Arabidopsis thaliana: one gene and its partner. The protein of the gene in region 1 purifies or fractionates together with the protein of each later gene. This does not show direct contact. Each region holds a gene or a part of one and is shown in the gene's direction. Other genes may lie near its edges.

Region 1 (4,982 bases):
CTCTCTGTTTCCTTTACTACTTCACCACAGACAAATTCAGCTCCCCTATGATGAAAGCAATAGTTTCATGCTGTTTATGTGAGTATCACTTTTTATTTCCTGATGCTTTTATTCAACATTAAAAGTGGCTTCTGTTTATAATAAAATGCAAGAAAAGGGTAATTGACCTGACTCAACGTAAATTGCAGATCCACAACTTGAACCAGCTGTGTTGTATCGGATAGTGGAAATTCTTCACACTGCCTATAGAGCTGGATATATCCAGATTACAGATCATTTTAGCTTCCTTATCACCTTAATTGCACGTTTCAAAGTTGTCCCAGGTATCTGCAAGATTTTTTTTTTCTCTTTTGAGCTTAAGAAAAAACTTTTGAACTTTTTATTACATTTTTGTAATTTGTTTTGGTGTGAGCTTATTTGAGAGATAATCATACTTTTTATGTTTTGTGATAGCTTACCTTGTGGCTTTATGTGCATGCAGAGAAACTGCAGTCATCGATAGAGTGTAATGAACGGGAGACATATTGTGGCACATTTAAAGAAGTTACAAAGCTTGTGTGCTCATGTTTGTCAGAAATGGGTGATAGTTCTCTTGTCCTTCAGATTGTAGAGAAAGTTTTACTCGAACAAATAGTAAGTTTGTCTTTTGATAATGCTTATATCTAAATGGATAATAACATTCTCATTTAATAGCACTGCATATACTTAAGGAGATTTTGTTCTTCTTGGTGTAGGTTTTGAAGCCTGCGTTGGATAATGGGTGTGCCATACTCAGGATGATCTGCGTGTTGGACTCTACCCCTACCACACTTTCTGAAAGGAGTGTAACCACTCTAAGTGAGTTCTTACCGGGATATATGATCAACATAGTCAATGTAAGCATTTCCCCTTTAAAAACTTTGCAGGGTCCTAAATGTTTCATTATAATCTTGGGATTGACACATCTCTTACGCTCTTCTTGCAGTGTATACCAGAGGATAAGGAGAACTCTTACCTTTACATACAAACATGTCTCTACTATTTAGTACCTTGCTATTTCTTGTTCAATCGGAGCTCCAAACTCACAGAACAGGTTCTGATAAGAATGCGATCAATGATTAGTGAAAACACAAAAGCGCTAGAATCGGTACAAGACAGGGAGAGCGGTCGAAACTCATTGAATATGATACAATGCATTATCTCTGTGATCCTGCTGATGCACAACGACGTCAAAGTTAGGAAGATAATATCGTCATTCAAGCCCGAGATCGATTTGATTCTTCAGAACGTTATCACGTTGCAGGTATCATTTTCTCCAATCTCTTATCATTATTGCAAACTGCATAACACATGTGCTGATAAGTTTTACCTCTTAAATGTGTAGTCCTCACGAAGCACGAGCTTGACTGTAGAAGGAAAGCATATGATGAAAATTGCGGGAGAGCGACTTAGGATTGCGTCCAAAAGCTTACTCGCGTAATTAAGTTCTACAACTGTAACATAAAATGATTTGTGCTCTCTTTATAAAGGATGCAAAAGATACGACTTAGCTTGGTTGTTTGAGAAAGCACCAATTTTGATGACAATTTTGTAGAATTTTGGTTTAGAGTTTAATTGAAGTGAAAAAGACATATATCTTCAAAACTGTGATACGCTTCTTCACATGAAAAAGGTTTTCTACATTAACCAAGCATCCATAACGCTTGGTTCCAGAAGCCAACCTTCTTTTAAACTGCAACGAGAAGATTTGAACTACGACTTTCCTAACCAGTAAATCTTAAAACCACTGCACCACCATGGGTTGGCTAAATGTTCAACATATGATTCATTTCGCCACCAAACAACTCTGGTTTATTGGATTTTGCAGTAAACTACATAGTTACTAATCCAAGAGTCAAAGTTCTCGAAAAAGTCATCATTTATTCTACCATCTGAAGTGATGGGCTTTTAAGAATGATTTAGCCCATTAATATTGACAAGAAAGCCCATTATATTAGTAAGACCCAAATATTCGACCCGTTTATAAAACCCTAGCTCGCAGGCTCTGAGTATCTCTCTCCGTCCAATTTCCGTCTCTCTCTCTTTTTATCTCACCGTCTGATCGCTTAGAAGCAACCATGGTACGTTCTCCGCCGCCGGAGTACCTTTTTTTTCTTCTTACAGCTTTCGTTTCTCAGATATAACAGCTTGAGCGTTTTGATCTCTAACAATTTCTGTGGTTTCTTCTATTGGTGGATGAAAAACAGCCTCAGGGAGATTACATAGATTTGCACAGGAAGAGGAATGGATATCGCCTCGACCACTTCGAGAGAAAGCGCAAGAAGGAGGCGCGTGAAGTTCACAAGCACTCCACCATGGCTCAAAAGGTTCTTACTTTCTTCTCCTTCGTCTTCTTCCATTTTTAGCTTCCTTTTACTGATTCTTCTTCTGCTTTTGCTCTAATTGCAGTCTCTAGGTATCAAGGGTAAGATGATTGCTAAGAAAAACTATGCTGAGAAAGCTCTCATGAAGAAAACGTAAGTGTTTCGTCGTATTCTCTGAGAATCTATCATTAAGTGAAAGATGTTAAGTAGTATAATTGATTGGATATTCCTAAGTTAATAGGTGTGGTTTTATGAGAATCTTACATTGGTTTGATTTTTATTTTTGTCATAACAGATTGAAAATGCATGAAGAGTCATCATCAAGGCGTAAGGCTGATGAGAATGTTCAGGAAGGAGCTGTTCCTGCTTATCTTCTTGATCGTGAAGACACCACTCGTGCCAAGGTTTGTTTGTTTTTTCTTTTCAAGTTGAGATATCTATAATTCTGTAACTTGGTGACGGCATTACATTAACAAGTGTGTGTTTTTGGGTGTAGGTTCTTAGCAACACCATTAAACAAAAGAGGAAAGAGAAAGCTGGCAAATGGGAGGTCCCTCTTCCAAAGGTGAAATCTCTCTCTCTGCTTTTGTATTCCTTCAGTGTTTGAACTCTAACAAATGGGCAAAGCTTAAATTCAAGCCCTGTCCTTTTACAGGTCCGTCCAGTTGCTGAAGATGAAATGTTTAGAGTGATCCGATCTGGAAAAAGGAAAAGTATGTATTTACTTTCTAATCCAGATATAGCTACTTGTTTGTTTTGTTATCACTCTATGTCTTTGTTTAAACACTTATCATCATATAGAGCTATTGATTAAGGAAATGACTCTAGACTAGATTGAGTTTGCTTTGTGGATTGGTTTTATTAGTGTTGAATAGGTTCTTACAAATACTGAAAATGCTTTCCCTTATTACAGCTAAACAATGGAAGCGGATGGTTACAAAAGCTACATTTGTTGGACCTGCTTTCACAAGGAAGCCTCCAAAGTACGAGCGTTTCATCCGTCCATCTGGTCTTCGTTTCACCAAGGCCCACGTCACTCACCCTGAACTAAAATGCACTTTCTGTCTCGAGATCATCGGGATTAAGAAGAATCCTAACGGTCCCATGTATACATCACTCGGTGTGATGACCAGGGGAACAATCATCGAGGTTAGTCCCCAAGATCTTTACGTATTAAGTTGTCATTTATGCTAAAGTTGCAAATAACTCAATATGCGAATGGATTTTTCAGGTCAATGTGAGTGAGCTTGGTCTTGTTACACCAGCTGGAAAGGTTGTCTGGGGTAAGTGACAATATACACAACCTTAGTGCAAACTATAATTTTGATTTCAGAGTCTTAACTCTCTCTTCAATTTGACTTCAGGAAAATACGCTCAAGTGACAAACAATCCAGAGAACGACGGATGTATAAATGCTGTTTTACTTGTGTAACCAAATGTCCGGCACTGTCGTAGAAGTATGGATAGAGACGAGAGGAAGGCGAGAATCATGTTGGCTAGTTTTATTTTGTTTTCTCCTGAAACAATTTTGTGTTATTTCAAGTTTTTTTATGAATGTGTGGTTGGTCTTCTCTTCACATTAACTAGCTGCTATGTTAGCTTTATAAGTATCCCACATTATGAAATTTGTTGCTTCTAATGTTCATTTTGAGCCTCTTTACCGTTACTATCGGAGCTAGTATGCCTTAAGAACCCATGGGAGCAAAAGTGAGATAAATCTGAAGGTAAACATATAAAATCGAACCACAAGGCAAGTCAAACCAAACTTCAATTACCGAGAATATGAACTAGACCAATCCAAAAGTACGTAGAAGATTGAGGAACTTGCAGCTAAATGTAGAGCAAAGAAAAAGACAGATAAGGCTAAAGTCGAAGCTGAAGTAGAGAATCGCTTGCAACAATTACGAATCTGATCAAAAGTGTTGTCGTTTTTATGACTAAATAAGGATACTCTTGTATTGTATCAACAACAATTTTTAGTTTTGTAAAAAGATTTGGGATTTTTCAGAAACCATATATATTTTGTAGCCTCTGGATTTTTCTTTCTTCTATGATTTAGTAACTGGTACCCTTTTTTACCTATTATTGTACATAATTATATAAGTTTGAATCACACCGAGATCAATTGTGCAAGGAGTGTTCTTATTAGAACATTTATAGAAGCTAAGGGACAAATAGAAAATACAACAGTGGGATAAGCTGGTGAAGCTTAAGCTTATCAACTCGTGCTTGGTAAAGCTATGGCTGCCAATGGAGGATCAAGTACTTGGAAAAGTCCTGAAGACAGCCTTCTTGTGAGGTCCTCTGCTTCAACTTTCGCGACGTCAGCTCTCATTCCGATATCAGTAGCGTATCTACTCGCACAATACACACCAATCGCTGTAGCAGCCATCCCATACACGTTTGTAGTCAGAAGCCGCATTGGCGTGGACAAAACCGCAGCAATCGGCCCACCTATAATCGAAACCGCCTGACCGCTCTGTCCCATTGTCCTTCCCTCAAGAACCAGCAATGCGGTTTTGCAATATATAGCGAAATCCTCACAGTTGTTCTTGAAAACGTCATAACATCCAAATCCGTTTTGAAGGAGGTGTTTGGCCCGGTGAACAACAATCTCATTAGGGTCAGCGACAGCGAGTG
Region 2 (4,803 bases), on another chromosome or scaffold:
TGTTTTTAAACTGGAGATCCTAATGTATGTAAAAACTGGGTTTGAATCTAAATTTTGTAGGTACATCCAGGTTGGGAATGCTGTGGCAGTTCCTGTAGGGGTTGCATTAGGATATGCCTTTGGTATGGCGAGTCAAGGACTGACGGATGATGAACCAGTAATCAAGCTGCCATTCAAGTATCCCGAATGCATGCAGGCAAAGGATCAAATCTGATTGACAGTCTCCATCAAGTCGTCATGATGAAACTATCTTTAGGAATCATACTTCATTTTCTAGACTTTCTTTTAATTTTTTGGGTTAGCAAGAGCTATATGCTCAAACAATGGCGGCTTAAACTGTCTAGCTCTTTCTTGTTGGTTTATCTTTGACTTTATAATCATTTGGAACCATTTTATTTCTTATGATTTTTAATCTCAAGATTTCAAATTCTATTGCGTAGACTTCAATCCTACGTGATGCCATCCAACAAGAATTAAGACCAAGCAAAAGACAGACAAAACCTGTTATTGAGCATCCGAGGTGCTAGGTACGTCCGTGATCTCTCGACGAACATTGGTTCGATTTTGCGTAATTCAGTTGCCACCGACCGACCGAAACTCTGGTCAATGATCACCACTTACCAGCTTTTATTAGTGTTATTCATTCATTCGCAAAAGCTAAGTAAATTCGAAGGCAGTTAGGCCCACAAGCCCATATAATGGTGAAAGATTTGGTTCACCCAAATAATGTCCCCACTCCTTCGGTTGGGCTTTTACGTTATAATATTCGGCCCAAATTTGATATCTCATAACAGAGCAAATTTTTCACATAGAAGAAGCAGAGAAACCAATTGATCTACTTTTTTTTTTTTTTTGTTTCTTCCTCTTCATCAGGCTTGTTCTTCGATTCCCTCACTTAAAGAAGGGTTTCGAATTTGCTCGAAAGATTGAAAGGAAAAAAAGAAAGAGGTGAACCATTCTCAACATAAATTTGTTGTTTAGGAGATGTAAGAATGATAATTTCTTGGATCTAATCGCGTTCAGAAAGTGAGAAAGTTTTAGGATTCATAAATATCTTTGTGTTCTTCTCCACCCTAATAAACACATTGATACAGAGATGGAGGATGAACATGTTATGATTGATCTTGATGACGTTTCAAGGCACATTGACATTCCAGCAGATGCTCCTTATACTTTATCAGTTAGTTCAATCCAATTCTTTCATTTCACTTTTTGCATTCTCTTGTTTTATAAGTTTGGTTTTGTTTGGTTCTCATAGGGTTTGGATACTTTGAATCCGGTGTTGACCATAGATGGCAAAATGAAGCTGGTAATTCTCTTACTTGCAACTAGTACAATTTTCCAAGTTCAGTTACTCTTTTTGCTTAAACCATTCTTAATCGTGTTAGATTTGATGATCTCTCAGGTAGGAGAATATATAGCAACGATTGGTACATGCCTTGCTTTCTCTGACAAAGGTTAGTTTCACTTTTCCTCTTTATTATCAAACATGGAAACACATGTTATTGTTTCAAGTAATTATTCTGTCCCTTCAAGATGCTGATTTGGGGTTGCGGTTTCTTCATTTGTCTGTTTGCACAAGGTGATAACCAGACGCCACAGAAGAAGACAGTTGAACCTGTTGCCAAACTCCACAAGATTCTCAAGTTTAGGTTAGCACCATTAGACAACGAAGATGGAGTAACAAAAACAACCAATTTGTAAAAGTTTTTCTCTTGTTCAAGTCATTGGAAACCTGACTTTTCTTCAAAGATCATATTAAAAAAAAGAACTATAACAATAACCGACAGATTATATATGTAGCTAAGGCACATGCAGCATCTTCCTTTGTTGGCCTCTTGAAAGTAGCAATCAAACTAAGACCAAACCAAAAGGTAACTAAACGATTCACAACTTCAACGTACGTTTTCATGATTTGTCCTTCTGATGATGTCAATAAAATAAAAACTGAATTGAATCAACCAGTGATGGAGAAATTATGCATCCCATGTAATTAAAAGAAACAAAATCACACAAGATATTATAAAATAAAACTAGGTATATTCAAAGGCAGTAAGGCCTTACATAAGCCCATAAATATTGGGCTTTTTTAGCCCAATAGTATTATGAGTCTGGCCCGGAGCGTAATTAGGTCTGGTGGCAAAGTTGTTAATAACACAAAAGAGATTTTAGTTAATAAACCCTAGGCTTCTCAAATCGGCCATTGCTACCAACTTCGACTTGGAATTCTTTCAGCCGCCGTCCCAATTGCTTTGCCGCCACCGGTAAATTTGTTCCCCCTTTTCCGTTCTTCTTATCTTGTTCATTCTGTTGGTGTCCCTATAGCCTCACTTTCTTATAGGGTTGAGTTCAGTCTCTGTTTATAAACTTTTTTCGCAAAAAAATTCAATCTGACAATCTGTTTTGTGTTGTAGAAGCAAAGAGTAGAGAGATAATGGCTGAGGAAGAAGCTAAGGGTTTGGATTACATACCGGAGATAGTACTGAAGAAGAGGAAGAACAGAGATGAGCTTGCCTTTATCAGGAAGAAGCAACTTGAGTTGGGTAATTCCGGCAAGAAGAAGAAGAAAGTCTCTGATATCAAACGTCCTGAAGATTTTGTTCATGAGTTCAGGGCTAAGGTACACTTCTTTTTTTCCAGATTCTCTGAAAAACTTTTGCTTTGTCTTTTTCCATTCGTTTTACTGCCTCAAGTTCTGATTTTTGCTTCTTGACTTTTGTCTACACCTTAGAAGAACTTGTTTTTGCTTATTCTTTGAGTTAAATTAAAGCTATACATCAACCTTTATGATTAGGTTTTGTCACTTATCTCTTAGACTGTAACTTTTCTACAGATAATTTTGTGTTTCTCCTTTGAGATTTCTCCCTAGTTTTGCAAGGTTGTGCTTAGGACTTGTTGTTTCTTCTGTCAATCCTGCATTGTTCTCTGTAATTTAACTGTTCCCTTTTTGCTAATTTTATCCCTACTTAAGGAAGTAGATATGATCCGGATGAAGCAAAGAGTAAAGAGGCCAAAGTCATCTCCTCCACCAGTTAAATCTGACCTGGTTTTCATCATACGCATTCAAGGGTATTTGATATTCTCCAATTAGCTTTGTTTTCCCCCTGGAGTTTTAATCTTTATCTCTGCCTGTTTCTTATCCTTGCCTTTTCTTTCTGGTGACCAGCAAGAATGATATGCACCCAAAGACCAAGAGGATTCTTAACAATTTGCAACTAAAGAGCGTCTTTACTGGTGTATTTGCTAAAGCAACTGACAGTTTGTTCCAAAAGCTTCTCAAAGTGCAGCCTTATGTCACTTATGGGTACGTAGAGACAATCAATCCTCTTTCAATATTTCCTTGTTACTCGATTTCCATGCTGTTTCTCTATTCTCGTATGAGCTAACCGATGTTTACGATTCTTGAAGATACCCGAATGATAAGAGTGTTAAGGACCTTATATACAAAAAGGGATGCACAATCATTGAGGGAAATCCTGTTCCTCTTACCGACAACAATATAATCGAACAGGTAAAATTTCCTACTCTTAAAAGTATAGGAGCTTATTCCAGATAATAACCATGCTGTTCTTAATCGTTTCCACTTTTGTTACCTTAGGCTCTAGGAGAACACAAAATCTTGGGCATAGAAGACCTTGTGAATGAGATAGCAAGAGTCGGAGATCATTTCAGAGAAGTTATGAGATTCTTGGGACCCTTGAAACTCAACAAGCCTGTGGCTGATGTTTTGCACCGGAAGAAACAAGTTTTCAGCGAAGGAGGAGATACCGGAAACCGCGAAGATAAGATCAATGATCTCATCAGCAAAATGAATTAGAAGCAGCAATCGTTGTAATCGCTAGCTACTTACTATATTTTCCTTAAAAGATCTGTACGAGGCTAAAAACCAACCATTTTGATGAAACACTTGCAATTTTGGTTAAAGGGCATTCCAAATTTTATAAGCATCGTCGACTTCAGATATTATATTATACACATATATTTATGTGATGTAAACAGAGTAATATAGAAGCGAGTGTTTTTCATCTTCTGAAGCTCCTCCTCTCTTTGGGTGCTTCATCTTCCTCTGGCAACTTGACAATTGTGTATGTACCTGCTCCGATTAACGCTCCAAGAATGGGGGCAGTGAGGTAAACCCAAATAGCTCTGTAATTGTTTGCTGCAATGGCTGGACCCAGTGTTCTTACAGGGTTCATCGAAGCAGAAGTTGCAGGTCTGTTGGACACAACATCATGATCAGTAACATGTATTATTATGTACAAGAACTGAATTCAAGAAATGATGGTTTATTTACCCAGCTATAAGTATGTTAAGCATGACCGTTGCTCCTACGGCAATTCCCGCCAACTCTCCCACCTGTAATCTTGTGATTAGTTTTCATTGACGTCCAAAATTTCAAGACTCTTCAAAAACGTTTTTTATAAGTAATTTACAGCTCTCGTGTCGGTGGCTACGGCTGTGACAACGAACATGAGGTTGAAGCTGATAATGAATTCCAAGGCGAAAGCTTGGCTGAGACCCACCGTCGGCACCGTCACGCCACCGCTCATCGTTGGTTCAAACACTGCTTTCAGTGCAAACGCCGCACTCACGGAGGCCATCACCTGAGCTCCGATATACACCGGCACCTAACATAAATTTAGACACCAACATTATTATTTTTATAACAATTATATAGAACCCCTTTTATATGATCAGATTTTATATATACTTTTATTACCCATGTTAAAATTCAATTCATAATACAACATGCATGTGCATGTCTATAGATTTCATGTGGTTCTCTCAGTAACATCCAAAAAT

Evidence for each region. Proteins that work in one complex are often made in the same cells at the same time.
Region 2: the proteins of AT5G06360 (region 1) and AT1G80750 fractionate together in Arabidopsis thaliana (co-fractionation; one large-scale study listed by BioGRID). This does not show direct contact.

Annotation. Positions count from the first base shown.
Region 1 is NC_003076.8:1,942,739-1,947,720, forward strand, and holds AT5G06360 (Ribosomal protein S8e family protein), read left to right. Parts: upstream 1-2,015; 5' UTR 2,016-2,096; coding exon 2,097-2,099; intron 2,100-2,225; coding exon 2,226-2,345; intron 2,346-2,427; coding exon 2,428-2,495; intron 2,496-2,637; coding exon 2,638-2,746; intron 2,747-2,838; coding exon 2,839-2,907; intron 2,908-2,997; coding exon 2,998-3,055; intron 3,056-3,255; coding exon 3,256-3,491; intron 3,492-3,573; coding exon 3,574-3,625; intron 3,626-3,706; coding exon 3,707-3,774; 3' UTR 3,775-4,046; downstream 4,047-4,982. Other genes in the region: AT5G06350 (ARM repeat superfamily protein), read left to right, coding at 1-78, 189-323, 482-633, 735-875, 965-1,282, 1,364-1,459; AT5G06370 (NC domain-containing protein-like protein), read right to left, coding at 4,561-4,982.
Region 2 is NC_003070.9:30,346,618-30,351,420, forward strand, and holds AT1G80750 (Ribosomal protein L30/L7 family protein), read left to right. Parts: upstream 1-2,052; 5' UTR 2,053-2,264; intron 2,265-2,414; 5' UTR 2,415-2,434; coding exon 2,435-2,620; intron 2,621-2,971; coding exon 2,972-3,069; intron 3,070-3,166; coding exon 3,167-3,304; intron 3,305-3,408; coding exon 3,409-3,511; intron 3,512-3,598; coding exon 3,599-3,817; 3' UTR 3,818-3,947; downstream 3,948-4,803. Other genes in the region: CMT1 (chromomethylase 1), read left to right, coding at 61-214; AT1G80745 (Transcription factor TFIIIC, tau55-related protein), read left to right, coding at 1,097-1,180, 1,259-1,309, 1,406-1,457, 1,583-1,704; NIP6;1 (NOD26-like intrinsic protein 6;1), read right to left, coding at 4,023-4,215, 4,295-4,356, 4,434-4,628.